Alligator mississippiensis: one gene and its partners. The protein of the gene in region 3 interacts with the protein of the main gene of each other region in a pairwise test. Links are inferred from orthologs where the notes say so. Each region holds a gene or a part of one and is shown on either strand. Other genes may lie near its edges.

What was found.
Region 1: the proteins of HOMEZ (region 3) and MRPL11 interact in binary tests that used the Homo sapiens proteins (3 or more experiments, as listed by UniProt). The two-hybrid records come from large-scale screens. The link is inferred for Alligator mississippiensis from reciprocal best matches to the Homo sapiens genes HOMEZ and MRPL11.
Region 2: the proteins of HOMEZ (region 3) and LNX1 interact in binary tests that used the Homo sapiens proteins (3 or more experiments, as listed by UniProt). The link is inferred for Alligator mississippiensis from reciprocal best matches to the Homo sapiens genes HOMEZ and LNX1.
Region 4: the proteins of HOMEZ (region 3) and RPL9 interact in binary tests that used the Homo sapiens proteins (3 or more experiments, as listed by UniProt). The two-hybrid records come from large-scale screens. The link is inferred for Alligator mississippiensis from reciprocal best matches to the Homo sapiens genes HOMEZ and RPL9.

The regions. Positions count from the first base shown.
Region 1 is NC_081838.1:5,407,247-5,414,768, forward strand, and holds MRPL11 (large ribosomal subunit protein uL11m), read left to right. Parts: upstream 1-4,892; 5' UTR 4,893-5,128; coding exon 5,129-5,251; intron 5,252-5,448; coding exon 5,449-5,544; intron 5,545-6,163; coding exon 6,164-6,257; intron 6,258-6,435; coding exon 6,436-6,595; intron 6,596-6,762; coding exon 6,763-6,859; 3' UTR 6,860-7,012; downstream 7,013-7,522.
Region 2 is NC_081825.1:59,244,538-59,252,088, forward strand, and holds the start of LNX1 (E3 ubiquitin-protein ligase LNX), read right to left. Parts: upstream 3,017-7,551; 5' UTR 2,885-3,016; intron 1-2,884.
Region 3 is NC_081830.1:7,415,782-7,423,071, reverse strand, and holds the start of HOMEZ (homeobox and leucine zipper protein Homez), read left to right. Parts: upstream 1-4,275; 5' UTR 4,276-4,660; intron 4,661-5,102; exon of another isoform or gene 5,103-6,039; intron 6,040-7,290. Other genes in the region: PPP1R3E (protein phosphatase 1 regulatory subunit 3E), read left to right, coding at 1,891-2,334, 2,762-3,235. UniProt on the Homo sapiens protein: May function as a transcriptional regulator.
Region 4 is NC_081825.1:50,709,403-50,716,964, forward strand, and holds the start of RPL9 (large ribosomal subunit protein uL6), read right to left. Parts: upstream 3,014-7,562; 5' UTR 2,995-3,013; intron 2,763-2,994; 5' UTR 2,762-2,762; coding exon 2,716-2,761; intron 2,638-2,715; coding exon 2,522-2,637; intron 1,313-2,521; coding exon 1,217-1,312; intron 912-1,216; coding exon 779-911; intron 1-778. Other genes in the region: LIAS (lipoyl synthase, mitochondrial), read left to right, coding at 3,186-3,245, 4,459-4,631.

The DNA of each region.
Region 1 (7,522 bases), on a different chromosome or scaffold from region 3:
CCACCCACCTTTGACCCCCCAGCCTGGCTGGGACCTCCCGGGCTCCCACGCAACTACACCCCACCTGAGCTCCCCGCCCGGCTGGGTCCCCCCTGGAGCCCCCCGCCACATCTGGCTGGGACCCCCTGATCTCCCCCGGGCTCCCCCTTGAGCTCCCAGCCGTGTCTGCCCACCCCCCGGGTGAATGGGGGGCTACGGGGTGGCAGAAAGGGGCCCAGAGCGCCCCCCCATGGGACCCACGCAGGGACACGGACACGACCCCGTCCCACAGAGCTGCTGCAGAAAGAGCAAGGACCCCCCCCGGGGGGGTGCGGCGGGGGTAAATGGACTCTGGCAGGCTGGACGGACCCCCCCCCCCGCATGAATGGCCTCTTCCAGGATGGTCAAAGCCCCCCCAGGGGTGAACACCCCCCGGGGCAAAATGGACTCTCCCTGCAGTGAATGGACTCTCCCGTGGGAGCGAAAGCTTCCCCCCCGGGCAGAATGGACTCTCCTAGGGGTGAATGCCCCCGCGATGGGGCAGAATGGACTCTCCCAGGGGGTAAGAGCCCCCTCGCTGGGGTGAATGGAGTGTCCCAAGCGAGTGATTGCCCCCCACCCCCACCCCCGGGCAGAATGGAGTCTCCTAGGGGAGGTGAGCCCCCCCACGAAGTGAATCGACCCCCCCTCCCCCCCGTTGGACAGAATGGACTCGTCCCAGGGGGTCTCCCACAGTAGAAGTGAGCACCCCGCTCCGGATTGGAATGGACTCTCCCGGGGAGGGGATGAAGCCCCCCCCCATGTGAATGGACCCCCCCCGGGGCAGCATGGACTCGTCCAGGCGCTGGGGGGCGTCTGTGTAATAAAGGGACCTTCACGCACGAGCCCCAGTGTTTCTTGGGGGGGCTGCCCCCTGCCCCCTCCTGACCTTGGGTTCCACCCCGGCCCCTGGGAGGGGGGTGGGGGCCGGTGAGGTAGGGCTGGGAGGCCCGCCCGCCCGGGCTCTGGGACAGGGTGGGGGGCCCGGCCGCCCGGGTTCCCTCCCGCTCCGTGGGGCCGGGGTGAGAGCCAGTGCTGGGCTGGGTTGTTTGTCTCCAGCTCTGTAATTAGGAGGTAATTAAAGATCCCGGGGCCTGGAAACCCCCTGCGGTGACCACCCCCCCCCAACCGCGGACCCCCCTGGAGCTGCTGGTGCCCCTCACTCCCGATCTGCATCCCCTGTCCAGCCCCCCTCCCCTTGCCCCCCACTCCCGACCTGCAGCCCCTGCCCCGCCTCGCCCTGCCTGTGCCCCTCACTCCTAATCCGCAGTGCCCTTGCCCCCCCATGCCCCCCACTCCCGACCCGCAGGGGTTAAGGTGCCCCCGAGGGGAGGGGGGCGTCTCTGGCTCAGTCCCGCATTAGCTCAAACTGGAAACAGACGCGGGCTGATGCAAACAGCTGGGGCGGGGGGAGCCCGCCTGGACGCCTGGGTTCACTCTAGTTCTGGGAACGGGGCGGCTGTGGGGGAGAGCAGGGGCCGGGGGGCCCGGAGGCCGGGGGGCCATGGGGCCTGGGGGGTAGTGGGCGGAGGGGTCGGGGGAGCCCGGACTCCTGGGTCCTCTCCAGGGCTGGGAGGGGGTGGGGGCTCACACCCATGTGCAGGGAGCCCCAGGCAGGCAGCCTGGCAGGCCTGGTGGAAACACGTGATCACACACAGGCGCGCGCACACACACACACACACACTCGCACGCCTTGTTTGTTCCTGGGGCTGGGTCACGGGAGTGCAAGGAACGCACCAGGCAACAGCTGCGTGTGTGTGTCCTGGACCTTGGGTTCTGTGTGCGTGTGCACGGGTGCGTTTGTGTGCGTGCGTGTGTGAATGCACGTTTCACAGATGCCTGGGTTCCGTGTGTGTGCCCTGAATGCCTCTGTTCAATGTGCACGTGTGTGTGTCTGTGTGCATGCTGCATGTCTGGTTCCGCCTGGGTTCCAGTTCTGCGTGCAGGGCATGTGTAAGTGTATACACAGGGCCTGCATGTGTCTTTGAGCACTGAGCGTGAGTGTGCGCTGTCCAATCTGGGCCATATGCAATGTGTGTGTGCACGCGCGCCCCTTAGACCCTGGCTGTGGGCATGCGTCTGATGATGTGTGTGTGTGTGTGTTTGTATGCCCCTGTGTGTGCACATGGCTGTGTGCATATGAAGCGCCGGTGCCCCTCGCTCCTGACCCGCAGCCCCGGCTCTGTAAGCTGAGCTCGCTCTCGGACTGCGGGGGAGGGGGCAGGAAGTGGGGCGGGGGGCCGCCGGGTCTGCAGCGGCAGCCAAAACAAACAGGGACCCCCAGCAGAGGGGGGCAGGGGCTGCGGGTCGGGAGTGAGGGGCACCCAGGGGGTCTGAGGAGCTCAGGGGGCTGCATGTCACGAGAGAAGGGCACTCCCAGCCCCCCCACAGAGCTGGAGGCTCTCAACCCCGCATGGAGGTGCCCCTGGCCCTCAGGGGTTGGACTGGGGGCGAGTGTGGCCTGGACAGGAGCGGGTCGGGTGTGTGTGTGTGTGTGTGTGTGTGTGTGTGTGTGTGTGTGTGTGTGGGCATGTGGGGGGGGGTGGCTCTTGCGGGTCCCCGGTCGCGGGGGGGGGGGGGGCGAGATCCGGCCTCCCCAGCTGGTCTGGGGTCTCTGCCCAGGACCACGCTCCCTCTGCCCAGCTGCCCCCAGGCCTCGGGGCCCAAGCACGGGGGGCAGGCTGCAAAGATCCGGGGCACGGGGCTCGGAACCCAGGCGTCCGGGACACGCAGACTCCCACCCGTGCGCAGCACAGACACGAAGGGGGCAAGAGCCGGACGCCTGCGTTCCCCCGCAGTGAGCTCGGCGGGCGGGCGGGCGCGCGCTCCAAGCCGGGACGCCTGGGTTCCCTCTTGCTGCGGGAGGAGCCCGGGCCAAGGGTCAGGGCAGGGGCGGGCCCGGACGCCTGGGTTCCCTCCCGGCCGGGCGGGCGGTGCCGCGGGCCCCCGGGAAGGTGAGTCATGGATGAGCTCAGTCCAGTCCGGCCCGGCCGCAGCTGGGGGCGTCACCCCCCCCCCCGAGAACCCAGGAGTCCGGGCCCCCAAACCCCCTTGCTCCCATCCCCCCCCGGCCCGCAGGGACCGGATCCAGGCTTCCGGGCTCCCACGCTCCCCTGCGCGGCCTTCCACGGGCTCCAGGGAACAGGGCTGGGGAGTCACTGCGCACAGCCCCCCGCCCCGTGGCCCTGTCCTCATGCGACCCCCACAGCCACGCCCCTGCTCGCGCACAGGCCTGAGAGCCCAGGCGTCCGGGACAGCCCTGCCGGTGCCCCGCATTCCCGACCCTGCCTCCCCCAGCCCTGCCGGTGCCCCACACTCCCGACCCTGCCCCCCCCGACCCATCCCCGCCGGTGCCCCGCACTCCCGACCCTGCCTGCCCCAGCCCCGCCGGTGACCCGCACTCCCGCCCCTGCCCGCCCCCCATCCCCGCCGGTGCCCCGGACTCCCGACCCTGCCTGCCCCAGCCCCGCCGGTGACCCGCACTCCCGCCCCTGCCCGCCCCCCATCCCCGCCGGTGCCCCGGACTCCCGACCCTGCCTGCCCCAGCCCCGCCGGTGCCCCGCACTGCCGACCCTGCCCCCACCAGCCCTGCCGGTGCCCCGCACTGCCGACCCTGCCCCCCACCGGCCATCCCCGCCGGTGCCCCGCACTCGCCCCCTAGCTGTCCCGTGTCCGCACTGAGTCCGGTCTCTCTGTGCTGCTGCTTGGGGGGGGTGCTGCTCTGTCCCGGCTGCTCCACCTGGCCTCGCACACGCCGGGCACACGCGTGCACTTGCACACACGTCCCCAGCCCAGAGAAGAGGCAGGCCTAGAGCAAACGTGTTTTACACACGGAGCCTCTTGCACCTGTGTATGCACGTGTGTGGCGGTATGTGGACATGTGGCACGTGTGTGTGCCTGCCTGCAGCACACACATGCAGCACGTGCCTCAGCCCCACACACACACACACACACACACACACACACACACACACACACGGAGCAGGTGGGTGCACATGGATCAACACATGTAGCTCACAGAGCACAGCACATGCGTGTGCACAGAGCAGGTGCTGGGGCACCCACGGTCTTCCTATGGCTCTTGTACACACCCCCTCACACACACACATAGTGGCGCACATGTGTGAGCATCTGATTATATGAATACCGAGTTTCACGTGTTTCTTGTCATATGCATATATATTCATACCTGTGAGCAGAGGCCTGCACGTGTGTGTGCGTGTTCAAATGCGTATGTGCAAGTGTGTGCCTGGCAGGCGAGCGTGCTTAGCAGCATGCACGTATAGACGCCTGTGCCCGTGGGTGTTGGCATAGCATGTGTTCATGTATGTGTCTGTGTTCATACATGAGCCTGACAGGCCTGGGTGCGTGTGTACATGTGGCCCTTTGCGCGTGCACACGTGTGTCCCTGGGAATACATGTGTGTGCACCACCACCCCCTTACACTCGGAACATTACAGTAACGGGGCGGCGCTGGGGCTGGACCCCGGGAATCCCGGGATGAGGGGCAGAGACTACACCTCCCAGCATGCACCGGAGCCGGGGAGGCCAATCCATCCCACAATGCCCCGGGCTGCAGCGGGTCGCGGGGGGGGTCCACCCATCAGTCCATCCACCCACCCATCCCAAAATGCACCGGGGATAGAGTAGGAAAGACCTCCCAGCATGCCCCGCGCGGTCAGTGGAGGGGGCAAGTATCCCAGCATGCATCAGGGCCTCGCGGGGGGTGGATAACGTATCCCGGCAGGCCCCGGGTGGGGCGGGGAGGACTGCAGCTCCCAGCATGCACCGCGGCTTGGAGGGCGCCCTTCTGGAGTTGATGACGTTCTGACTCCGGGAAAGAACCACCTCTCCCAGCAGGACCCGGGGGCGGCAACGTCGTGCACCGTACGAAGAACTACAGTTCCCGGCCTGTCTCGCGCCTGGTGACGTCACTCCGCGGCGTCTCGGCGGCTGCGGACGTCGTTGACTACAGCTCCCGGCGTGCCCCGCGGCCCCCGGCATCCCCGCGCGCTGCACGTGTGTCCTTGCCCCCTGGTCAGTCCGGGCGCGGGCCGGGCTCGGTGGTGCGCCTCGCTCCCGCCCGCCCGCCCGCCGCCGCCGCCGCGCCATGTTGCGCTCGGCCGTGGTGAAGCGGTCCGTGAAGCGGGTGGTTCCCAGCAACCGCATGAGAATGATCCTGGGCGCGGGGCAGGCGCAGCCCGGCCCCCCGCTGGGCCCCGTCCTGGGCCAGGTGAGCCGGGCCCTGTCCCGGGGCAGGGAGGGAGGGACGCCTGCGGCCCGTGGGGGAGGGCTGGAGCCAGCACCGTGCGTGCCCTCCAGCTGAGGGGGGGTCCCTTGGATGCAGCCAGCTCTGGGGAAGAGCTGGGCCCAGGCGGGGGGGCGGTTCTGGGGGGTCCAGCCGCCCCTGACCCCCCCCCCCCCCCCCAGCACGGGATCCCCATTGGCGCCTTCTGCAAGGACTTCAACGACCGAACCAAGGACATCAAGACCGGCGTCCCCCTGCCTGTGCGCATCCACATCAAGGTGCTGCCGCAGTCGGGACCCTGGTGGCCCTCAGCCCCCGCCCCCCAGCACCGCTGTGTGCCCCAGTCCCCGCCACACACCCCTGCGGCCCCGCTCAGACCCACCCACATCTCTGGCGGTGCCCCCCCCCACCAGCCCTGCTCTGCCCCTGGGCCCTACATCTACTCTGGAGCCCCCAGGTCCGTCCTAGGTGCCTTCAGTGCTTTTCTATGCAGACCCCCGCCACAGCCCCCAGACACCTCTCTCAGCCCTGGCAGCTCCTCTCAGGCACCAGGTCTTCTCTAAGACACCCCCCCCCGCTTTCCCCCAGGCATTGCGGTTATGGGGCACCCTGTTGCCTTGACACCCCCCCCCCCAGTCACCCACAAAAACCCTGGGGCAAGGTGGGCTTGGGGCAGGGGCCAGACACTTGGGTTCCCTGGGGGCGAGGAGCAGATGCTGTGAGGGCTGGGCTGGATGTGGAGGGGTCCCACAGGGCTTGGGGAGGGCTGGGGCAGGACATGGGGGGTGTCTGCTCAGGGTGGGGGCTGTTGCAGAGGCATCTGGGGGAAGGGGGCATTTGGGAGATGGGAGTGGGGGGTGGTGTTCAGGAGCTGACGGTGTCTAGTGATCCCTGCAGCCGGACCGCACCTATGACCTGAACATCCACCCCCCCACGACCTCCTACTTCCTGCTTGCGGCCGCTGGCATCGAGAAGGGCGCGTCACAGCCCGGTGAGGGGGGCGTATAATGGGGGTGGGGGGAGGCTGGCCATTCCCCATCCCGCCCCCCAAGGGCATGCAGAGGTGGAGGCTGCTCCTCACCCATGGATGTGAGGGGGTCTCAGGCTGACACCCCCTCCGTGAGGGGGAGGGGAGGTCCCAGGCTGATGATGTCCCCTCACCTCCCCAGGGCACGAGGAGGCAGGGGTGGTGTCGCTGTCGCAGCTCTATGAGATTGCGCAGGTGAAGATTGAGGACCCCGGGTTCAAGCTGCGTGGGAAGGGCCTGGAGGACGTGGTGCGCTCGCTGCTGGGCTCAGCCCGCTCCCTCGGCCTGCGCGTCGTGCCCCGGTGAGCCCCTGGACGCCTGGGTTCTGGGGGACCAGAGGGGCAGTGCTGGGAGCCCAGTTGCGTGGGTACTTTGGGGTGGGCCAGCAGCCTCAGTACCTTGTTTCTGGGTGGGGCGGGGGGGGCAACTGCTGGACACTTCGGTCCCTGACATGCTGCCTTCCCGCCAGGCTCACCGTGGAGGAGTGCACCACCTTCCGCCAGCGCCGGGCAGACGAGCTGGCAGCCCAGGCTGCGGCCCTGAAGGAGGCTGAGGCTGCCAAGTGACTGCTCGGACCCCTGGGTTCTCCACCAGGTTGCGGGGCCTGGGAACTGGGGGACCTGGGGTCTCCCCTGGCTCCGGAGGTGCCAGTGCAAGCCCTGTCCCCCTTGGCCTGGCTGGTCAATGGTGAAGCTGATAAAATAAACGCTTGAGACCTTCCCCGGCTCCTGTGAGTGAATCTGCCGGAGAAGCCAGAGGTGGAGGGGGCGGGGCTGGTGAGCTAGGGGGCAGGGCAAGTAGCTGCTGTGGAGGAAGTGGCTTGGGGAGAGGGGGACATGGAGGGGTTGGAGAAAATGCGGGGGACAAATGTTTGGGGGGCAGAGGGCTGAGCAAGGGGCTGGCATGGAGGGAGTGGCCAAGAGGAGAGGCAGGGCCAAGGGTCATGGGGACCAGGGCTGGTGCCTGCTCCTAGGGCTGGGCAGGCGGTTGGGGCTCTCCCGGAGTGGGGCCCGGTGCCTGGGTGATTCAGAGCTGCAAGGGGGAGAGGAGGGAGCTGTGCTGGCCACCCATAGTGGTGGGACAGGCCCTCTTGGGTGCGTTCACCCATGTGTGTCCATGTGGAGTTGGGTGTGAACATATGAGGAGGCACATGCAGGCATAGTGGGTGGCGTGAGCATGTGTGTGCAAGTTGGCAGGGTGGTGTGTGCACACGTGCAAGCATATGTCAG
Region 2 (7,551 bases), on a different chromosome or scaffold from region 3:
CACATCCCATTTTCTTTGTGCGAATATTTTGGTGAAACAATTATTTTTGCATTTCAAGCTAGTGCAAAATTTGAATGTTGTCATGCTTTCAGTGTGTGGGCATTTTCACCAAAAATGGGCTTATTTGTACCCCACAAAGAGGTTTGCCTACAGGGAGTTCACTGAAATTGATAGGCCTTTGGTCCATGTAATTGATAAGCCATATGGGGTCTACCTAAGCAAATCAGTCTGAAAGACTGGGGCTATATTAAAAGGTAGGCCATGTTTTCAAATTGTCCACGTCTGACAGTATCTCTTTGGATTGCACTCTCAGCAAGATAAGCCTTTTATTATTTGCCTTACTGCATAAAATGACTGCTTGATTTATTATGTATTATGTGCAATGCAATAATTGAATATTCTACAACTTAAGTGAGTATATCATGTCATCCCATATATGTACTGTTTTTGCATTTTGCACAAAAATTTTGTCTTGCAGGAGCGACTGGATACTTCAGACTTTTCACACAGACTATTTCAATTCACTTTTCTGATAAACAAGAACTAAATTGAGCCAGAAACATTTATTTTTCCAGCTCAATACTGCAATAAAGGCCTGCAGTAGTTAACGCCCAAACAAAACTCACAACCCTCTATGAAACAGTGTTCATTTAGTGAAATCGAGGAGGATTCCAAGTGAATAAAAGGAACTGGCAGGAGCAGCAGGAGTATTTTCAGGTGGCAAGCAAAGGCTAACTAATGGACTAGCTTTCCCAGCTTGTTTCAATTTATATTTTTGGAAAATAAATATAGGCTCAGAGTTTTTTGGGTGGATGAGTATAAAATAGTAAATTACTAACAGATTACTTCCTTAAAAAGAATTTTCCAACTCCAGTCTCAGGAAAGAAGTGGATTAGAGTATTTTAGCATAGAACCCCTCACAGGAAAGCATCTTTCCAAATACCTTACATAACCCAAGGATGAATCCTAACATTTCATTTACAGATTATTGCTTTTGGGGTTTTTTTCCAGTACAGATAACGTAAAGTGTTGTTCTTATAAACTATCATGCTAAGTACAGACAGTAAAAAAGCCTCAGGCTAAATCAATTCAATCTTCAAAGGTAGTCTAAGCTACGTAGATTGAAATGAAAAGCAAGTGAACAGACATTCACTTTTGATTCTGGAAATGCAGCAACATGCCTGCAGTGGCCCAAGCCAGAAGCCAAGGGGTGCTAAAGCATACCTTCTTACTTGGCTAGAGCAGACAGCTTGGACCAATGTTAGCCACCAACCCTGCAAGAGGGAGGCGGGTTGCAGGGGAAGTGCAAAGAATCCTGGGATATTGGGGGACTGTGAGTTAACTTGAATCTGGAGGGGATCTGGGACAGAAGTTCAGTAAACCGACTTAACCTAAATCATTTAAGTCTGATACTACATCCATCCAGGTTTACCTTAAACTGGTTTCAACCATTTTAAAGTGATTTATGTGAACTGAACTTCTGTTGTGTTACAGATTTGACCTGGTTTACTATCACTTATACCAGTTTATGTGTAATTTCTGTCCGTAGCCAGAGTTGTCTTGCTACCAGTAGTAACTGCAAGAACCTTACTAAGCAAACAGAAGGATCCCTAGGGAAAGGCTCCATTTTTACAAAGTATCCCACAGTGTAGTTACATGTAAAAACTGATTGGATGATATAGCTCCTACTGAGAACTTGTAAGACCAGATTTGCTATTTTTATTTATGGCTGAATAATTCTGCTAGACATTACTGTAAAGGAAAAGCATGAATTACATCTGTGTTCTGGATACTTTATTTATTTTTAATCGATTCTTATGGATGTTTAAGAAATCTTAGAGGTCAATCAACAAAACCTTTAAGTATTTGCTTAACCTTAGACACCTGCCTATGTCTCTTTGGCTCCAGGTACGTAAGTACTTTGCTGCATATGGATGATTTAAGTTTAAGTTTGTTTAACTGTATTGCTGAATTGGGCCTTAATATTTATATTCCAATATAATTTCAGGACCTGTGAACTCCTATACACATGCTCAGCTTTATGGACGTGAGCAGACGCACTGAAATGAATTCATTATCATGCAAAGGTATGTATCTGAATAAATGTTAACAGAATTGAGACAACTGTCTTTGCCTACAGTATTGCAGCTTGTGGAGGAAAACTTCAGCTGCTTTCAGTTAAAATTTGACTGTAAGACTAACCACATAGAAGACAGTTTGTGCCAAAAGACACCAATCCAAACTGAACTCGTTTTTTAAAAAGGCATTTAAAACCCTGAGACTGGGGGATAGGGCAAGGAAGAATATAGCCCTAATTTACACCAATGGCTTAATGAAATTGCATGAGATGTAAAATGGTGGGGGGAGGGGCAGGAGTGGGGGTGGGTTTACAGAAATTTGCAAACATGCAAACAATTTGTTGAAGCAGTTTTTGTTCAATAACTTTTTCTCCATACACATCAATTCACTTTTAATATTCTTCACCAAAGACTTAAGTTTTCTCAGGAAAAAGAAGAAACAAAACGAGACTAGCTAACAGAATTTAGTGAACTAAGTTTGCTACTATCCTTGGCAGCTAGACTAGTATTTTAAAACCAGTTAGGATAGAATGCAGTAACACTGCAATTAAGTTGCAAGGCCTTCTTTCTTTGAGAATGCATCAGGTTACAGAGGGACTGAACCATAAATGTATGCTGCAGTGAAAATTCACTGCTGTTTTGCTATGGTTTTACTTCATAGTTACAAAGGCCCACACTTAAAAGTTTTGTTTCTAAAAAAGTATAACGCTTGTTCACATGAGTATTTCCTTTCACATTTGCTTCTTCAAACAAGTGAGAGACAATTGAATAATAAAAAGTCAAAACAGAAGATGGTTTATACTTACCTCTCTGTCGTCCTGTGCCTTTGAGTCATATATGGGCTTGTGGGCTGTGACCAGCTTTCTGTAGGTAGAAATCAATGGACTTTAGCAGTTGAACATGCTGCCCAACAACAGAGCATTAAGACTCAATTTGATCTCTATAGGAAGAAAACTTTTATTGGTTGTGGCACACAAGGAAATGGGTGACATCACTAATGGTAGTAAAGAAAAGCCTCACTGCATAAACCTAAGTAATTTAAGGTTCAGCAAACCGCGCCCTACCTGTCATTTATCCTAGAGGCAGGGTGGCTGCACATACCTGCATGCACAGACTGCTTAAACAATTGTTTGCAGCTTTTCCTTTTCCTTTGAACATGCATTCAGCTGCATTTTGAGTTACATTTTCCCTTATTGTGTGACCTTCTTGCCACTAACTCTGAATCAGAGCTGAATTAAAAAGCCTAGAAATTGAATCAGTGGCAAATTATTTTGTCCCGAACTGGTCTGACACTGGCAAAGCTCGCTGAGATCTTTTGTGCCATTTTTAAAATTTCTTTACAGGGCAAAACATAAGACATGATAAGTTCTTAATTTGCAATACCCAGGTGTCAGGAACATCAGGTTGGGTAGGTTTGTTTTTTCCTGCTTTTTACTGAAACACCTCTGGGAGGATTGTGAGCACATTCATTGTGAAAGCCTAAACCTTAACTGCCAGGACAAGTGAGCTGACTTTAAACAAAGACTTCTCTTGTGCATAATGTTAGCCAGTCATTGTAATTACACAGGTGTTAGTAAAAACAAAGACTTTTTAATGAGTTTGAGTAGAAATCATTTCTGTTCCTCAACTTTCACTTCCTCAGCCTTGCAATGTGACCACTTCACTAATTCTCCAGTCATTATAGAGCTCTCAGACAGAGATTGTTCTAATAGAAAAAAAAAGCAGGAAATAAAGTGTAAAAATACCTCATAGACCTTTCAAGCCTTTTTTACATAACAAAGGTACAAAAAACCAAAACAAGCCCTCCCCTCGCTCCATACCCTCTTGTCCCCGCCTCCTCCCCCCCCCCACACAGCTATTCTGCAGGACACTTAATTTGCATGCCTCAGTTTATCTATGTATAAAATAGGATGGGTATCTTTTTACAGGTACATATTTTAATGCCTTTAAAACATTTCAGTATCTGCAGAAGAAAGGTGTAGTGTAGGAACTAAATATTTTTTTAAAAGATATTTTTTTCATGTCTTCATGACTCCATCAGCGATCTGGAATATGGCATAGAGTGCATCCTCAGCAAGTTTGCAGATGACACCAAGCTGGGGGGAGCAGTTGATACAATGGAGGGTAGGGCTAGGATTCAGAGTGACGTAGACAAATTGGAGGACTGAGCTGAAAGAAATCTCATGAGATACAACAAGGAGAAGTGCAAAGTCCTGCGCTTAGGACAGAACAATCCCATGCAGGCTAGGGACTGACTGGTTAAGCAGAAAATATATCTGCAGAAAATGACCTGGGGGATACAGTGGACAATAAGCTGAATATAAGCCAACAGTGTCCTTGTTGCAAAGGAGGCTCACAGTATACTGGGCTGCATTAGCAGGAGTGTTGCCAGCAGATCAAGGGCAGTGATTATTCTCCTCTATTCAGCACTGGTGAGACCACATTTGGAGTACTGTGTTCAGTTTTGGTTCCCCACTAGAGAAAGGATGTAGAGAATTTGGAAAGAATCCAGAGGAGGGCAGTGAAAATGTTTAGAGGACTTGGGCATGTGACATTTAAGGAGAAGCTGAGGGAACTGGGATTATTAGTCTGGAGAATAGAAGACTGAGGGGGGACTTAATAGCAGTCTTCAACTATCTGAAGGGTGGATACAAAGAGAATGGAGCTAGAGCAGTGGTTTTCAACCTTTTTTCATCTGCGGAACCCTAAAATATTTCAAATGGAGGTATAGACTCCTTTGAATTGTAAATGTGGGTATTCACATACTTTTGATTGATCATAGTAATCTTTTGCGGACTGCCTAGACATAGTCTCTGGACCCACAAGGGGCCAGGGACCACAGGTTGAAAACCACTGAGTTAGACTGTTCTGTGGTGATAGATGATAGAGCAAGGAGCAATATCTCAAGCTGCAGCATGGGAAGCTTCAGTTAGATATTAGGGGAAATGTTCTCATTAGGAGGGTAGTAAAGCATTGGAACAAGCTACCCAGAGAGGTTATAGAATCTCCATCCTTGAAGGTTTTTAAGACCCGGGTAGACAAAGCCCTGGCTGGGATGATCTAGTTGGGGATGGTCCTGCTATGAACAGGGGTTGGACTAGATGACCTCCTGAGGTCCCTTTCAACCCTAATTTTCTATGATTTATGAAGTAAAAGCACAATTACTTGAAGTTTTACTAATATGCTAGGGACATAGCACTATAATATTTAGCTTAAAATCAAAGCAAGAACACATATAATTATTGGAATGTGCACTAATTTGCTAGCTTCTATATAAAATTTAAAGAAAAACTAGGCAAAAATAGTTAAAATAGTCAAAAGATATTGTGTCATTAGTTCTGTAGTCACTATAGTTAAATGCATATCTTTGATTCAGATTCATAAAAACAAAATCTAGCCTTGAGTGTCTTGACAGTATCTCCAATACTTTACTGTCAGTTATTTCTACACCTGTGTTAATAATACCACACCTGAGTAAAGGTTTTTATCTAGTGCTAAAAACAAATTTGCAGGGCTATTAAATAGTCATTTCTGGTAATGTCTCTCTTCTAACAGACCATAAAACTGCAGAAGAAAGGATTGTTTGAATAATGAAACATCAAGACCTTTAAAAAGCATCATAGGCAACTGGTAAGGGGGTACATGGGGGTGCACATGCCCCCCCTTATGGGGCTGGTGCCTTCCCTGATGGCCGACACTAATGCTGTAGGCAGGGCTGGTGCCCCCCCATGACAGGGCCGCCTCCAGATTCAGGAGGCACCAGTCACTCATGAAATGGATAAATAGTTATTAACACCTGTGGAGTGGAAAAAGATAAGCAGGAATCAGGGAGATGACAATGAGCCACGAAGTCAATTGACTCTCTCAGCACTGGTTGAATAGAAATGTCACTGCCCTTCCCAACCAGTTGGTTTTAAAGTTTGGGTGGAGAAGAAATTGAGGGAGTAGAGGAGGGTGCAACTGAACCACTGCACCCCACTGGGTCTACCCCCATAAATATTTGTTTTTGAAATTGTTTCCATCAATCCCCTCAACAGAATGCAATAGTTGTATATTATCCAAATTCACAGAGATACTTTCCCCTTTCATTTTAACATTAGATTTCAAATGTGAAAAAGCTCTACACTTGTTCTGGGGGTGATGCATTTGGTCAGATGCCACTGACCAATAACAGCATATGAGTTGAGTAGTTTGTATGGTTCAGGTTTGAACCATATGAAAAGGCAGAAAATAAAAGCAATACCTGTATAGAAAGTGAACTCCTTAGGAGCAAATAGCTGACAGCGCCAGCCAACCATTTTTTGGGTCTCCCTGTAAGAAATAGTTTTGGGGCCCCCTACCCTGAAGAAGCCAGCAGCGGCGTTGACAGTGGGGGTGGGGGGAGGGGTGGTGAGTGGCTGGACGTGAAGCCAGTGGCAGTGAACAGCCGGACGTACACACGCACCCCCCATGAGAAAGTCTGAGTGGGGGAAGGAAAAGGGCCATGTGGGGGAGCGGCATTGCCTGGTGCTGCACCCCAGTCCCGGCCACCTCCCAGCCCCAGCCCTGGCTGCCTCCCAGCTCTGGCTGCACCGGCCTCAGCCCTAGCTGCCTTTTAGCCCTAGCCACACCAGTCCTGACCCTGGAAGCCTCCTAGCCACACTGGCCCTGGACCTGGTTGCCTCAGCTGCCTCCTGGCCCTGGCACCTGTCCCAACTGCCTCCCAGCTGCACTGGCCCAGGCCCCAGCTGCCTCCCCACACCGACTTTCTCCCCACCATGGCTTCTACCCCACCCTGGCCCTGGCTGCCTCCCCACACTGGCCAGGGGTGCCCAGAGCTGGGGCTGAGAGCGGGGTCAGCCTTGGCTGTACTGCCAGACTGGAGTGGATGGAGCCCCTGGGACCCCTGCGCCTGCCCTGCTGCACCCTGTGTCATCCCCAGGAAGAGCCAGTAGCTCCTCCAGAGGCACAGCACTGGGCAGCTAAGGAGGGGGACAGCACATAGCCCCCTTATCTTTGCATGGGTGAGGACAGGCTACAGCTGTGAGCTTGGCACAGCCCTATGTCTCTGTGCCTCACCACTTAGAGAGACGGGGCACAGGTGGTCATCTTGTCCATCCTCCCGGTCAGAGGTTGCAGTAGGCATCACAGCGCCTGCATCAGAGAGGTCAACCTGCGGCTCAGAAGTTGGTGCCATAGCGCAGGATTTGGTTTCCTGGACCACGACCCACACTTCCTGGCAAGGGACTTCCTGGGGTGTGATGGACTTCACCTCTCAGTGAAAGGTTAAAGTCTTTTCTCTAACAGGTTGGCTGATCCCTTACATCGGGCTTTAAACGAGCTCAGATGGGGGACAGGGAGGAAGAAGAAGGAGAACATCAGGAACCTGCAATCCATGGAACAGCCAGCAGAACAGCACAGGTAAGCAATAAGCAGGTAAGCAATAAGGGGCCCATTGGGCATCAGAGCCAGGGGGCAACAAAGGTGCCAGTCA
Region 3 (7,290 bases):
GCAAGACAGCCTGAGGGGTAGGGCCCTGCTCCCTCACCACTGCATGGAGGCAATGTGGTTGCTGTGGGCATGGCCAGGGGACCAACATGACTGCCCTTGGCGTGAGCAGGCACTGCCCTACCCCCAACTGGGAGGGTGCGGTAGCCGGAGAAGGCTGCAGCCTGGGCATCTCATTCATTATTCATGCACCAGCATCTTCTTTGCATGATTAATGACTCCAGAAGCTCGTTAGCCTCTTAACCCGGCTGGCCCACAACAATATGGGCACTGTGTCTACATGGTGCCCCTCACTCCTAGCCGACAGCCCTGCTGTTGCCCTTCACTCCTGAATGGCAGCCTATGGGTGCCCCTCACTCCCAACCTGCAGCCCACTGCACCACCCTGGTACCCCGCACTCCTGACCTGCAGCCCAGGTTTGTTGGCGGGGGGGCAGGGCAGTCCCAAGCTAGTTCTGGGCTTCCATTAGCTATTTCACCTCCTTTATTATTGATCCTGGTTGCTGGCCTTTTGCCTGGCAGGGACTTGCTGTTCCAGGCTTGCCTGGATGCCTGGGTCCCTTCTGCCTTAACCCTTCATGCTCTGGGGAAGCTCCCTGCTGCCCTCTGCTCCCTCCCCATTCCTCCACAGGGCTGGCTGATCAGGGCCTAGGGTGGAGAGGTGATCCCCAAGTAGACTTGCAGGCTGCTGGGATGGAGGGATGTTGAAAGAAAGGCAGGAGGAGAAAGAGAATAAAGGAGGGAGGGAGGAGCTGGCACAGATGGGTCAGAAGAGGCAGAAGAGAAAGGGAAGGAGAAAGCCTGTTGGTGGAAAGGGAGATCGAGATTCAGGGCCAGGCGGAGCAATACATCACACAGAGGGAGAGACAGGAGACGGGAGCCCTGGCAGAGGAGAAGACAGAGGGCGGAGGGACAGAGACAGAACCAGGCAGCGCTCAGACGGACAGAGACCAGGAGGAAGACGGTGTGACAAAAAGACAGGCCCAGACAGAGGAACAGAGCCAAGCCCGTTGGAAGGAAAGGTGAAAGACCATCTGATGGAGAGATATGAGGCAGAGCCTTGCTGAAGGGACAGCACTGGGCTCTGGGAAAGCAGGGAATGTGGAAGACCATGTAATGGAGCAATAGGGAGAGTAACGGGTGGCTCAGGGGAAGGAAATGTGGACACCTGCCTGACGGAGAGAGACAAGACAGACCCAGCCAGAGAGGTAGACCCAGGCACGCCGGAAGGTGGAAGATTGCATGACGGAGAAACAGCTTTTGTGAAGCTGGAAAGAAAGAACAAGACAGGCCCCAGGTACAGAGAGAACTTGAAGAAGGGAGTGCGGGAGGCAGCGTGGTGGAGAGAGAGACCACAGGACAGAGCTCTGATGGAGGGCTAAAGCTGGGCTGGCTGGAAAGAGCGAGCGTGGGAGGACACGGAGCCCAGGTGGAGTGAAGGGCTGGGAAGGAGGGAACATGCCAGGCTGGTGATGGAAGGATAGGACACGGAGCCTGCTGAAGCAAGACCTTCGGAAGAAGAGAGTGTGTCTGGCCAGGGACGGAGGAACAGAAGGAGGCGGGGCCTGGGGCAAGAAGGTTTGGAAGGAGGGAATGTGGCAGGCTGTGACAGATGAATAGGAGCGCACAGAGCCTGATGGAGTGAGAGGTTTGGGAGGGAACGTGGCAGGCCAGAGACGGATGAACGGGAGCACACAGAGCCTGGTGGAGTGACAGGTTCGGAAGAATTGAACGGGGAAGACGGTGACGGAGGGATAGAGGGGCACAGCCTGGCAAAGCAAGACTTGGAAGGAGGGAAGGTGGCAGACCTGTGACAGAGGAGTAGAAGGACACAACACCCAGCAGAGTGAGCGCAGGAAGGAGGGAGGGTGCCCAGCAAGCGACAGAGGGGGCCATGGCGGGCACCCCCCCGCCACCGCCACGGGGTGACATCCCGCGCAACCTGAGCTACATCGCGGGGCTGTACGAGCGCGCCTACTACCGCACCGCCCGGCCCAGCCTGGCTGACGACTCGGAGGACTCGGAGCCCGAGGGACGCTCGCGCCGCTCCACCCGGCCCCGTGCCCCCCGGCTCCGTACCCGCCGGACCCGCACCCGCCAGAGCCGTCGGGCTCACTCTGCCCCACCCGGGCCAGGGGCGGGGGCTGGGGGGGGCTCGGGGCGGGCACGCAGCCCCGGGGCGCGCAAGCGGGTACGATTTGCCGACGCACTGGGGCTGGAGCTGGCCAGTGTGCGGCAGTTCTGGCCAGCCCAGCTGCCCGAGGTGCCCGAGCGCGTCCAGGCCCAGCTACGGCGGGACTCCCTCAGCCACTTCCCACCCTGCCTGCCCTACATCAAGGTGAGGGGTGGGGCAACAGGCTGGGGTGGAGCTATGGGATTGCTAGGGGGTGGGGCTACAGACTGGAGAGGTGGGGGGAATGGCAGGGGGCTGGGGGTGAGGCTACAGGCTGTGGGGGCCAGGAGCAGGGGGGCTATGGGATGCCAGGTGTGGGGCTACAGGCTGGGGATGGAGCTGTGAGTGTGTTAGGACAGGGCTATGGGGGGCCTGTGGCTACAGGCTGGGGGGTGGGCTATGGGATGCTGCTGGAGCGGACCTACAGGCTGGGGGAAGGGCTATAAGGGTGCTGGGGATGGGGCTATGAGGCAACTGTGGGGTGGGCCTACAGGCTGGGGGCAGGGCCATTGGGGGTGAAGTGTGTGGCTACAGGCGATGGGGGCAGTGTGCCCACCCATTCGCTGCTGACCACTGTCTCTCTCCCCGGCAGGCAAGCAGTGGGGCAGCGCCGTGGGCATGGGCAGCAGCAGAGGCAGAGGTGGGGGCACGGCTGGCAGCGCAGGCGGTGGCACTGGAAGGGGCACGGGCAGAGGGGGTGGGCGTGGCGGGGACACTACGCGTGCTGGACCTGGCCTATGAAAAGCGGGTGAGCGTGCGCTACACATGGGATGGCTGGGCCAGCAAGCGCGAGGCCCCAGCCGCCTACGCCGGCCCTGCGCCACCCCCCCCTGGTGCCTGCCCACCCGCCGCACCTGGTGCTGACCGCTTTGCCTTCCGCCTGCCCCTGCCACCGCCTGGTGCCACCCTGGAGTTTGCCCTGCGCTACCGTACTGCTGGCGCCGAGTTCTGGGACAACAATGAAGGCCACAACTATGCCCTGCGCCCTACCGTGCCACTTGCTGGCTCCCCCCGTGAGCTGCCCCCTAGTCCCCTGCCCCTTCCTGACTGGAGCCGCTTTGCCTAACACCGCCCCGGTCCCTCCGGGACCTCCACCCAGCTCATGGCCCTCACCCAGACCACTGGTCTTGGCCCCGCGACTCTTAACCTGCACCCTCCACACCCCGCCTCTCCTGCAGGCTCACGGCCCCAGATGGGACCCTGGCCCCAGCCTCCAGCCACAGCCCTGCACATCCCAGCCAGGGCATCCCAGCACACCCCAGGTGGGTCCCCCTCCCCATGATCCCACGAGGCCCGTGACCCCTCCACTACACCCCACTCCGCCAGCCAGGAACACTGGCCTTGGTCCTAGGATCTCAGGTCCCAGCCAGGCCCCCCATCCCCAGCCAGGCCCCCCAGCTGCACCACAAGAAAGTGCCCTGAAATACACTCTGCCCAGAGGCACCCCCTCCTCCCCCCCGCAGCTATGGCCTGATGGGGGGCAGGACTCCCCATCTGCCCCTGAGGGCGGGGCTAGCTACACCTGGGGGGCATAGCCACCAGGGGCTCCTCCCACCAGACCAGAGGCACCCCTGCATGGAGGATGCTGGGCATGGGTGCACCACTGCCATGGAGGCCGCACTGCCTGACAATAAAGACAATGAAGTCTAGACTGGCCAAGCTGGTGTGTCCCTAGTGTTCATCTGTCTACCCACAGCGCGGGGCTGCCCGGGGTGTCTCTGGGACCCCTGTGGGGGGGAGGAGAGAACCCAGGCATCGAGCTCCCAGCCACAGCCGGAGGGGCAAGGGTGCAGAGCTACCACGGGTGACACGTGATGGACCCCAGCCCCATCTCCAGTCATAACTATTGCGCTGCCTCTGTTTTCCCACATGACCCCAGAGGTCTGGGTGCGGGGGGGGGGGGGGTTAGGAGGCGAATCGAGCAAGGGGCAAAGAGAAATGGAGGCCTGGAGGCTGTTCCCCCCTAGCCCTGCTGGTGCCCCTCACTCCCGACCTGCAGCTCCCCCCACCAGGAAGCCAGGGCACAGCTGCAGAAACAAAAGGGGGAGGGATGAAGGGAACCCTGGCGCCCGGGTTCCTAGCTCCTCCCCCCGCCCTTTCACCTCCTAGACCCCGCTCCCCCCACGGGAACCTAGGCGTCCGGGCCGCCTCCCCTCCCCCTCGCGGGGACATCCGGGGTGGCTCGAGCTCTGGCCCAGCCAATGGCCGCCGCCCTCTCCCCCCCTTTGTGTGTCGGAGCTGGGAGAGGACCCAGGCGTCCCAGCCCCCTCCCCGGCTGGAAGAGACCCCGGGCGTCCCGGGCCCCCCCGCGCCCCTAGAGGCTGCAGGGAGGAACCCACGCATCCGAGCCGCTCCAGCTGGAACCCAGGCGTCCGGGGTCCCTTAAAGGGCCAGCGCCGGGCTGGCCCCGCCCCCGCGCGTCCATTTCCCAGGCTGCATCGGGCGGAAAGTCCCAAACTTGGGGGGAAACTGGGGTCGGAGGAGGGGGCCGGTGAGTGGGGGAGGGGCAGGGGCGGGGTCGCGTTTGGGGGTCCCTGGGGGTGGGGGGCGTGCACCTGATTTGGATCGGGGGAGGAGGGGCTGATGGGGGGGGCGGCGGCTGGGAGCCCGGACGCCTGGGTTCTCTCCTGGTCCTGGCACGGCGGGGGGGACACCTGGGTCCCCTCTCTGTTTGGGTTGGGGAGGGAGGAGTGGGGCGGGCTGGAAGCCCAGGTTGTGTCCCAGTTTGTGGGGGTGTGGTTGCTGAGAGTCTGCACACAACGGTGCTCTCCTAGTTTGGGGGGGAAGGCAGGGTTTGCTGGTAGCCCTGATGCCTGGGTTCCCTTTCTGTTTGAAGAGAGAAGAGGAGGGGGCTGCTGGGAGCCCGGATGCCTGGGTTCTCTCCCTGTTTTGGCGGGGGGGGGGGGGGGGGTGAAGGTGGTGCTGGGAGCCCAGATGCCTGGGTTCCCTCCCTGCTGGGGGGTTGATAGTGGGATGTTGGGGACCCAATGGGCTAGACCAACCCAGGTCACCTGCAACTCTGGGCCCTTGGGGGTGGCAGCAGGGCAGGCACCTTCCCCACAGGAGGGGCAGTGCCCACATCCAGCGTGTGGTTCCCCATGGCTCCCTTGGGTGGGTCTGGCACCAAGAGGAGCCACCACCGGGTTCGCTGGCAAGACAGAGAATTGGCCTAGAGCAGAATCGAATCCCATGGCTCTGTTTGCTTAGAAGGGATCCACCAGATCTTTGGCCCTCATGGTGGCGGAGCTAAGCCATCCAGCTCTTTGGGTTGGCACCCTTCAACCCTTGAATGCTCCTGCCACTGACCAATCTGGAGCATGGCACAGCCGAGTTCCCCATCACAATTGGTCTTGGGGTCAGTTCTTGGAGGCCAGATTCCTCTGTGTCTTCTCCTCATGAAGGCCTCTGTGTTTGAGCGGCTTCTCAGTGTTCCCAGTTAAGCTAATGAGTATTGGGGACGGGAAGAAGACGGGAACATGGTTCTTCGGTGTATTGTAGGCCTCCCACTCCTCCTTTCTAGGAGAGCTAGAGGACTTGTATCAGCCTAGAGCAGGGGGTCAAACTCATTGGGGCCAGCTGACCTGTCTGCACGGACAGTTGGGGTGGCCAGGCCTTCTGAAGGCCATGTCCCATTACTGCATGCCCATTATTTCCTGTCCCATTCCTTGCTCAAGAGAGAGCCATCTTCGCAGGAATCATTCCCAAGATGGTGGCCGGCTCCCAAGATGGCCTCTTGAGTGCTGGGGAGCAGCCACAAGATGGCAACTGAGCAGTGACGGAGAGCGTCGCGGGACAGAGGCATCACCGAGCCCAACCATGGGGGTAGACAGAGGGGTTGGATGGTGGTGATGGACCAGCTTCACTTGCCTGGTGAGCACGAGGATACCTGTATCGATGCCCATAGGATGCTGCCAATGGTGGTTAGACGTTGCTCAATAGCTTTGTTTTGGAGGGGGCGGGGAGGTGAAGGCCAAGGGGTGGTTGGTCTGGCTGAGACTTCTAAAGGCAATATATGCCTATTACCTCCTGTTCTGTTCCTTGCTCAAGTGGGAGCCATCTTAATGGGGATTGCTGCCAAGATAGGAGTTGGATCCCAATGTGGCTTCTTGAGTGCCAGAGGCAGCCACAAGATGGCAGTGGTGACAGCAGCAACATTCATCAGATGGAAGCTGTGCTATAGGGAACAAGCAGTGAGGAGAGATGTTGCCCAACGGTAGGGATTGGCAGAGGGTCAGATGGTGGTAGTTGGTCAGCCTCACCTATGACCATGAGGAGAACCAAGTTGGCAAACCTAGGGTGTTGCCAACAGCAATTGAATGATGTTTGATAGCTTCATTGGGGGATGAAGGCCAGGTGGTAGTGATGGTTGCTGGGGTTTTCTCCCAGGGAGGCAGTGGAACAACGTCCAAGGGTCCCTCACCTGGTGATATCTTCTAGCAGTTAGTGCCCACATCTAGCTGTCGTCCATCAGGCCTTGGTTAGATCTTGAAGGAACCTTGGCACTTCCCCACATTGGGTCAAGATCGAGTCAATCCCTTGATCTTGGTTGATGGGCCAAAGAGATCCAGCGGAAGAGATCAAGCCTTGACGATGGCTGGATCTTGAAGGAACCTTGATTGCTTTCCCCTTGTTGAGTCGGGATCAAGTCTGTCCCTCACTGATGGGCTGAAGAGACCAAGCTATGCCCACCAACTCATCACCACTGGTGCCCAGGTTTCCCACAGGCCAGTTCCCGCAGCATGAACAGCTCGTCTGATGTCCCAAACATGAGCAAGGAGGTGCCCAAACCTCCTGGCCCCCAGGTTCCTCTGGCATTACCCCTTTAATTAAACAGGCCATTCTTGGACAATCAACCAGCTTGGTAATGGGTCTTTAGGAGCTGCTTTTGGCAAATAATTCAATTACCAGCTCAATTTTTGTGTTAGGGGGTCAGATCATATGAGCCATCACTTCTCATTCATTTCTTTAGTTGTCTCTGATTAGAGATAAACAAATCCAGGGCTTTTTGTTTTATTTCTCCAGGTAATTAGCATCCGGAGTAATGGCTGTCTCTAATTAGGCTCTGGTCAACTTATTGGCCTCTCTTTAAAAAAATGTTTAATTAGTGGGTATTTATTGCCT
Region 4 (7,562 bases), on a different chromosome or scaffold from region 3:
TCAGCTGTAGATTAAATCCACATTAGCAAACCCTGAATGAGCCAGTATGAGTGATTTCATTTACATTAGCTTGAGAAGTTGTCCCCCACACATTCTAACATTTAAAAAAAGCAAATGTTATTTACTGTTCTCCAAAACCCAGACTAATATTCTATGAAATTGGATTTTACATCTTTTTAGAAATTTTAAACTCTGTATGAAAAAACAGTCTCTTTTCTATCTTCAGAGAAGCTCAGGCAGACGCATTATAATTACTGATGAATCCATTTGTTCAGTAGAATCACCCTAAAGTGCCAAAAGCCACAAACAGGATATTTATCTTCATTTTCACCACTGTTACCCAGACTAAATGTGTACGCATTTATGTGTGTAGTGAAGAACGTTCATCACAAAGCTAAAAACAGGGAAAAGAAAACTTCTGAAGCTTGTCATGCATGCCTGGGAGAACAAACAAACAAAACAAGACTTAAAAATAAGTTAATTAATTAATTAATTAAAAAAAAAAATTTAAAAATCAAGAATTCAGAAATGCTTTAATGCACATTACTACACCCTGAAAAAAGAACCGGAGTCATCTTGCTGATGAAATATTGAGCCTTCGTAGCTCACTGAAAATATTTACCTTCATCAGGACTAGTCTGTTAAATAAATCTCTATTATGGTGTTAACAGCTTTTAATCTCATTAGGAACAGCTTTGTTCCAAAAACCAGAACACCAAATTAGTGCCCAAAACACCACATAAGGTTTGCTCAGCAACACTAACACGAACACACTCACCTGGTCTCATGCGCACCCTGCGGATATACTTTTCTCCCAGGAAGTTACGGATTTCCACAAGTGAGCCATTCTCCTGTATAACTACGTTGATGGGGAAGTGAGCGTACACTGACCTCATCTTGTAACGAAAGCCCTAGGAATTAATCAAATTTAGGATTTTAACAATAACACTCAAATTGCGTAACGATACGGTTAAGAATTGCCAAATAATTCTACTTTAGACATGGTTATCATTTTAGTTTTAGTTGTTCAACACTACCTGCTGAATATAAAGTACATGGTTTATGTGTACACCTAAAGTTCTCTCAATTACCACATGTATGCAGGAAAAAAAAAAAAGTTAAAATTTTTTTTGGAACACACAATTCTCCTTTCAGAAAAAAGTTGCCTAGTAGCATGAAGGAAACAACAAATAATTTACCTCAAAATAAGACTTACCAGTGTGACACCCTTTATCATATTTTGCACATGACTGCAAATTGTGCGAACTGTTGCCAGCTCCTTTCTGTTACCCCACCATTTGTCAACACGTAGCTATAATAGAAGTTTAAGAAGTCGTCAGTTGAAATTCTTATTCTTTCTAGAAAACATCTGTTCTTAATTCAGAAGAGCTGAACTACAGAACTGAACAGCCTCAAAATAACCTAGAAAAAAAAACTGCTCCATCTTTCTACAAAAGGACTTCAAAGCACTGAAATGCAACTCTGGTGCTCACCATTATATTTTGCCTTTCACTATAAATTTGGTCAAATCAGTTAATTGCTGTGGCCAGTTCTGTAACAATGACATGTTAACAGTTACCACCAAAGGGCTTGCAAAAATGATACTGATACAGCTACTTTAAGATGCTCCGATGAACAATATTCGTGCAAGTATTAAACACTGAACAGGCAAAAGCAAACCTCTGTTCGGTCACCTTTTACTGAAAGACAAGCAAACAAGTTACTTCTTTTTCTGTAAACTTTCAAATAGCCAACAACCTGGGGAAGTCAATAGTAGTGCTTAGTTTTGATCTTGTCCAGTGGCAAAAATGCTCAAGTGCTTTAAAAATACTTGTGCAATACAAACAGCACACAGCTGCCATTGCCACATTCAGAAAAAGCACTGCTGTCCTAAACAACCAAGTCTTCTGGGATAAACGATGCTCCCAGACCATCTTGCCCAAGAAGAACTTAAACAAGAAATCAGACTTCCTATGAGAAGTGGCCCATTTTATTTTATATCTAGGCTCCTTACAAGTGAGCACCAAATGCACCCAAAAACTGAACTTCAAAGCCTGGCACCTCATACACGAGACACATCTGTATCTTCAAAGTTCTGCCTTCAGCCCCATTACTTTCTCAGCTTCTGTTATGCTGGAGCCCTCGCTCTGTTCAGGGTGGCAGTTCTCAGCCTTTTTGGTTGGGAGGCCACCCCTCCGCATAAAATTTCTATGACTTAAGCACTGCAATACAGTCAATTTGCTTTTTAAATCGGGGCCACTCATGTCCCTGAAAAGCTGCCAGGCTGCGGGAGTGGGGGACAAGCTGGGCAAGGACAAGCCTGAGCCGGGGAGTTATCCATCTCTTCGGGGAGTGCTTCAGAGGAGCTGGTGGCTACTGAGCACCCCGACGGCTCCGCGCTGCAGTGAACCGGGTCCCTTTCCCAAGATGCACAAGGGGCCCTGAGCACTCCTGCAAAGCAACCCCACAGACCTGGTTGGCCTCGACCCCCACCACCCCACCCCACCCCTGGGGCACGCACCTTCTTGCGCTTCTTGCCCAGCAGTGACAGCTCCACGTTGATGTGGTTGAAGTCGCGGCGCAGAGACCCGCGCGGGCCCTTCACGATCACGGTGCGGCCCTTCAGGGACACGTCCACTGCAAGAGACGGGGGTGAGTGGGGCCGGGCCGGGCCGGGCCGGGCCAGGCCGGCGGGGGGTAAGGGGCAGCACGTACCTTTCTCGGGGATGTCCACGGCCTGGTTGCTGAGGATGGTCTTCATCCTGCGGGGACGACACAGCGGTCACGCGTTACGCACCCGCCTGGGCCCGCCGGGGAGGAGGGGAGGAAAGGGCGCTGCCTCGGGCCCTCCGAGCCTGGCCGGGTCAGGCGCGCGGCGGAGGGGAGCGCGGGGCGATCGTAGGGGCGGGGCTGCCCGAGCCGGGGCGGGGGCGCGCGAGCCGCGCAGGGATCTGCGCGCCGCGGATGGCAGCGGATAGTGGCGGGGGCCCTTACCTGGCGGCCGCTGCAGAGGAAAGGGGGGACGTCGTGCGTCATCACGTACTTGTAGCCGGCCGCAGCGGGCTGACGTCACGGCGCACGGCAGCCCGCTCGCAGGCAAGAGGAATTGAGCGCCGCTTAGTAGAAGGACCCCGGCCTTGGGTCAGGCGGAAGCAGGGGCGCGCCGAGCTGGTCGAGTGGCGGCGATGTCTGCGCTGCTGCGGGGTCGCTGCTGCCGTGGGGCCGCCGCGCTGAGGCCACCGCAGGTGCGGAGCCCCTGCTCCCCCAGGCCGGGCGTCCCCGTGCCCCTACCCCCTCCTTCCCCCGCACGGCGTGGGTGCAGGTCGTAGCTGCCCCGCTACGTCCCCGGGCCGGGGGCTGCCCAGCGGGCGTGCGCAGCACGGGGGGGAAACGTGAGCTGCTCTGTCCCGCCTCTGCCCCCGGCCCCCCCTCCCCCGCGCCTGGGGCGGCAGGCCAGCGCGGAGACCCGCAGCAGCGGCTCCGGGGCGTCGTGGGACCCTTTCCCCACAGTTTCACCCAGCTCTTAGCCCCGTGCTGCGTCTTTCCTCCCGTGCTCGGAGGGATCCTGCCGTCAAGGCCTCCACAGACGTTGGGTTGTTCACGGAGGGTCCTGTCGCAGGGTGTTACCTGGCTGCAGGTTAAGACTTTCCCACCACCCGTCATTAGCTTTCAGAGCTAACTGACAACAGCAGTTTTCGTCTTGGAAGGTGGACAGGGCCGGTCTTTGCATCTGCGCTCTGTCTGTAGCATTTCTGACTTGAAAACACCATGCGGTTGTTCATATTTCTGTAGCAGGGGTGGGCAAAATGCATCCCGCGGCCCGCCAGGCCATTCTATCCAGCCCGCGAAGTCCCTAAAATTTTTAGAAAATTAATATTTATCTGCCCTTGGCTGCCTGTTATGCAGACCTCAATGGCTTGTCAAATCTCAGGCGGAGGGCCGCTTACTGAAATAATTGCCTGCCCTTATTTATAGACTAGATTTGTGGGCTTTGTAGGATGTTTCCTTTGGCTGAGGCATCTTGTTTTTATAATCCCCCCCCCCCCCCCCCCCCCCCCCAGGGTCTGATCCTTGTTTTGATTTTCACATCTTGAAACTGATGGGTGGAGCCAGGTCTATGTCCCCTTTAAAAGGACTGAGCCCAGAAAGATTTATACCCTCAGTCTGCTCATAGGAGGTACATATAGCCTGGCTAGCCTTGCATATTCTTGGACTTGAAAACAAGAGCCAAGTTTTACCACTCGATGTGTACTCAGCACTCCCTTTGAGAGTTGTGCACAGTCATCCATTGAATTTGACCTTAAATTAGTACATAAGAAAGTACCTGCTCCAAAAATATTCGTTTTCTGGCCTCTCTGTAAAAAAGTCCTTTTAATTGTCATAGCGTACGAGCATTTATGTAATGTATACTGTAGCACGTTAGTGGTAAAATAAATAATATAGTTACACTCCCCATAGGTGCTTGGAACCCAAGTATGTAGCCAGGACAGAGCGTCAAGTTCTTTGCCAGATGAAAAAAAGGAATTTCTGAAAAATGGACCTGATTTGCAAGAATTTGTATCTGGGGATTTTTCAGACAAGAGCACATGGGCTGATTATAAAGGCAACGTAAAGCGTGAGAAGGGAGAAAGGTAATTGCAGTTTCAAACATGTATATTGTACTCTCATTTAGGATCATGTTTTCTTCAATACAAGACACAACTCTGTCATCTGTAAAAGTATCTGTTAGAGGTGCATAGGTGTATCAGCTGGCTATCGGATCGGCAGCGATAAAAGGAGAAATGACGTTATCAGCTTTTACACTTCGTAGCCAATAATTTTTTGGTCTTTCTAGCCGATAATTATGGCCGTGTGCCCAGAGCATCCTGGCAAGCATAGTCTAGTTCCCTGTGCCCCACTGCTGGCCCAAGCCTGCAGCATACTACAGGTCCTGGTGTTGGCTACAAATGTCCAACTCGGGATCCTTAAAATTCTAGTTTATTAGGCGGATTGAAATACTGTAATGAGTTAAATCATAAACCTTGGGTCTGGTACCCACACACACGCACATGCACACACATACACACACACAGTAGCAAGCTACAGAGTCAGGTACACCTATCCTACTAGCGCTGGAGTCTGCCGTCGATGGCCAGTAGAGGCTTCTTTCAGCGTGGTGTTATCATCCAGAAGGGGGTCGCCGGCTGGTCCTTCTGGCTGGAGAGGTCGGGTGCTGGTCAAGTTGGAGATCAAGAGGGCGCCACTGAGGGTTACTTTTTGCTGCCTTTTATCTGTCCTTGGCAGACTTTGGTGACTCCCCAGTTTTCAGGTTTGCCCAATCCAGGGGTCATTGACCCTCGTGGGACTTCTCCCTCCCCCCCGGTGGCTACTGGATGGCATCTGTCAGCCCCAGGGGTCATCCGCATGTACATGCAGGTTTGGGAGTCTGTTGATGAATTTTGAATAGGGCTCTGGGAGTGGTCGATCTGGAGATATTTAGCCCAAAAGTTGGTCCCCGGCATTGATTAACTCAGGCCAGGGCTTCTAGCCCTTGATCAGTGATGTTTAGAGATTTCCCGGTTGTTACATTGTCTTCTATTGAATTCTTCCCTTGGTTGATCTGGAGTTTCCCAGGTGTTAATTTCTGTCTGCTACCATGTTACACATTGAATCACTGATTCACTTGCTCTTTCAGGGGCCAGCCTGATACAGGGAAGGACAGTTTGATTCCTGCCCTTGTTAACATTGTTACAATGTATAACTTACTTATGAAACTAAATACATTCAGTTGAAATATGAAAGATGAGGAGTATAAATATAAGCTACAAATGTCATGGCACACAAATAGATAAAAATACCAAACTACAAGGGGAGATACAAAATGCACACGTACAAATTTTAAAACACAATTCCTTATCTTAAAGTGAAAGAGAGAGGAAGGAAGAAAAGGTAGAAAAAGAGAAATATATCCAGAGAGGGGAAAGCAAATGCAGGCAAGAGGAAAAGGGGGCTTTCTGCTACACTGGTGAGCGGTGGAAGGAGCTAGCACCAGGGAGTGGTCACAGGGCACTCTGCTCAGCAATGAAGGGACTGTTACCAGCTCCTGCTGCCACTGCCATGCAAATGCTGTACGCACAGCAGGGGCCTGAGTGCCAGGCCTGCCGCAGAGACGTTTGGCTGTGTGGGAGGGGTAAGGTGCCTCGTGAGGGATGTTCTGCTCCACTGAACACCAGGTGCCTTTGCAAAAGTAGCTTCTCCCTGCTGGCCATGGGAGCTCAGCTGCAGAGGGCCTGCCAGTACTGAGGCAACAGCGTGCTGTGGGGTTCTAAATACACCCAGCACCGCTGTTTGCTCAAAGGTCCAACCCACCCACCCAGGATGGCAGCGTAGGGTGTGCAGGGAGTGGGGCTGCAGGTAGGAGCTGTGGCCAAGGGGATGATGTGCAAGGGAATAAGGTGAAGGCTGGAGCAGTCAGGAGGTGTGCGTGTGTGTGTGTGTGTGTTATAAGTGCAAAACAAACAAAAAAGGGTTTATTTATGTCAGTACTTTAAAGTGCCTTGCACTATTACTACATATTGGTTATTCGATTGGCATTGGTCAATATGGTTGGTTAATCATCGGCTATTGGCATTGGCCAATAAATCTTTATTGGTGCACCCCTAATATCTGTGTGAATTTTGTTGTTTTGTCAAGTTTTGGAGCATTGCAATATCTATTTCATGCTTTGTTCTGAAAGGAATCATCATTTTAACTAAATGCAACATGGTTACACGGGCAGTCCTCAGTCCTCATACTTATGACACAATTGGTTCCTGAAAACCGCATCTTAAGTCAAAATGTTGTAACTCAGAACCAATTTTCTCATAAGAAACAGTGTTATAAATGGGGGATTGGTTCTTGAACCAAGGCCCGATACCCTATTTTCACCAACAATACCCCAGAATTTTGTACTCGATCAATTATAGATGAGTAATATAGCTACATTAATGTATTTATATTGTAAATAGGAATCATATTGATTTGGAAGGACTTCTTTGAGGTGACTTCACCGGACTTTTTGAAGGGCTCTTGGTTGGACTTTTTGAAGGGTTTTTGGCTGGAGTCTTCTCAGGAGTCTTAGCTGCAGGTTTTTCTGGAGTCTTGTCCGCTTTCTTAAAGAAAGTGTCCAAGGAAATTTGGACAGATGTTCTCCAGGGAGATGGGCGACACAGCGAACTTGTTCACTGGCTAGGTGTCGCATCGGATCAAGCGTTGTAAGTTGAAAATGACATCATAAAGTTGAAACAGGGTGTGAATTTATAAATGTTGTAAGTGCAAAACGTTGTAAGTCGAGGACTGCCTGTAATATGTTTTCAACAGTGTATTGGATTAATTTTCAGTATACAAGTAAAAAAAAAATATTTAAAGCATACAAGAACAGTGTATTTTTATTTTTAATGCTCAAAAGAATAGGAGTGAATGGAGCTAGATCTGTTTTAAAGGAGTCTCTTGATGTATAAAGTGTTGAAGATTCACAGATTAAAATTGATCACTTATAGCTTTGGCTAATGTTATTTTAAAATGTTATTTAAATATGTAGATCT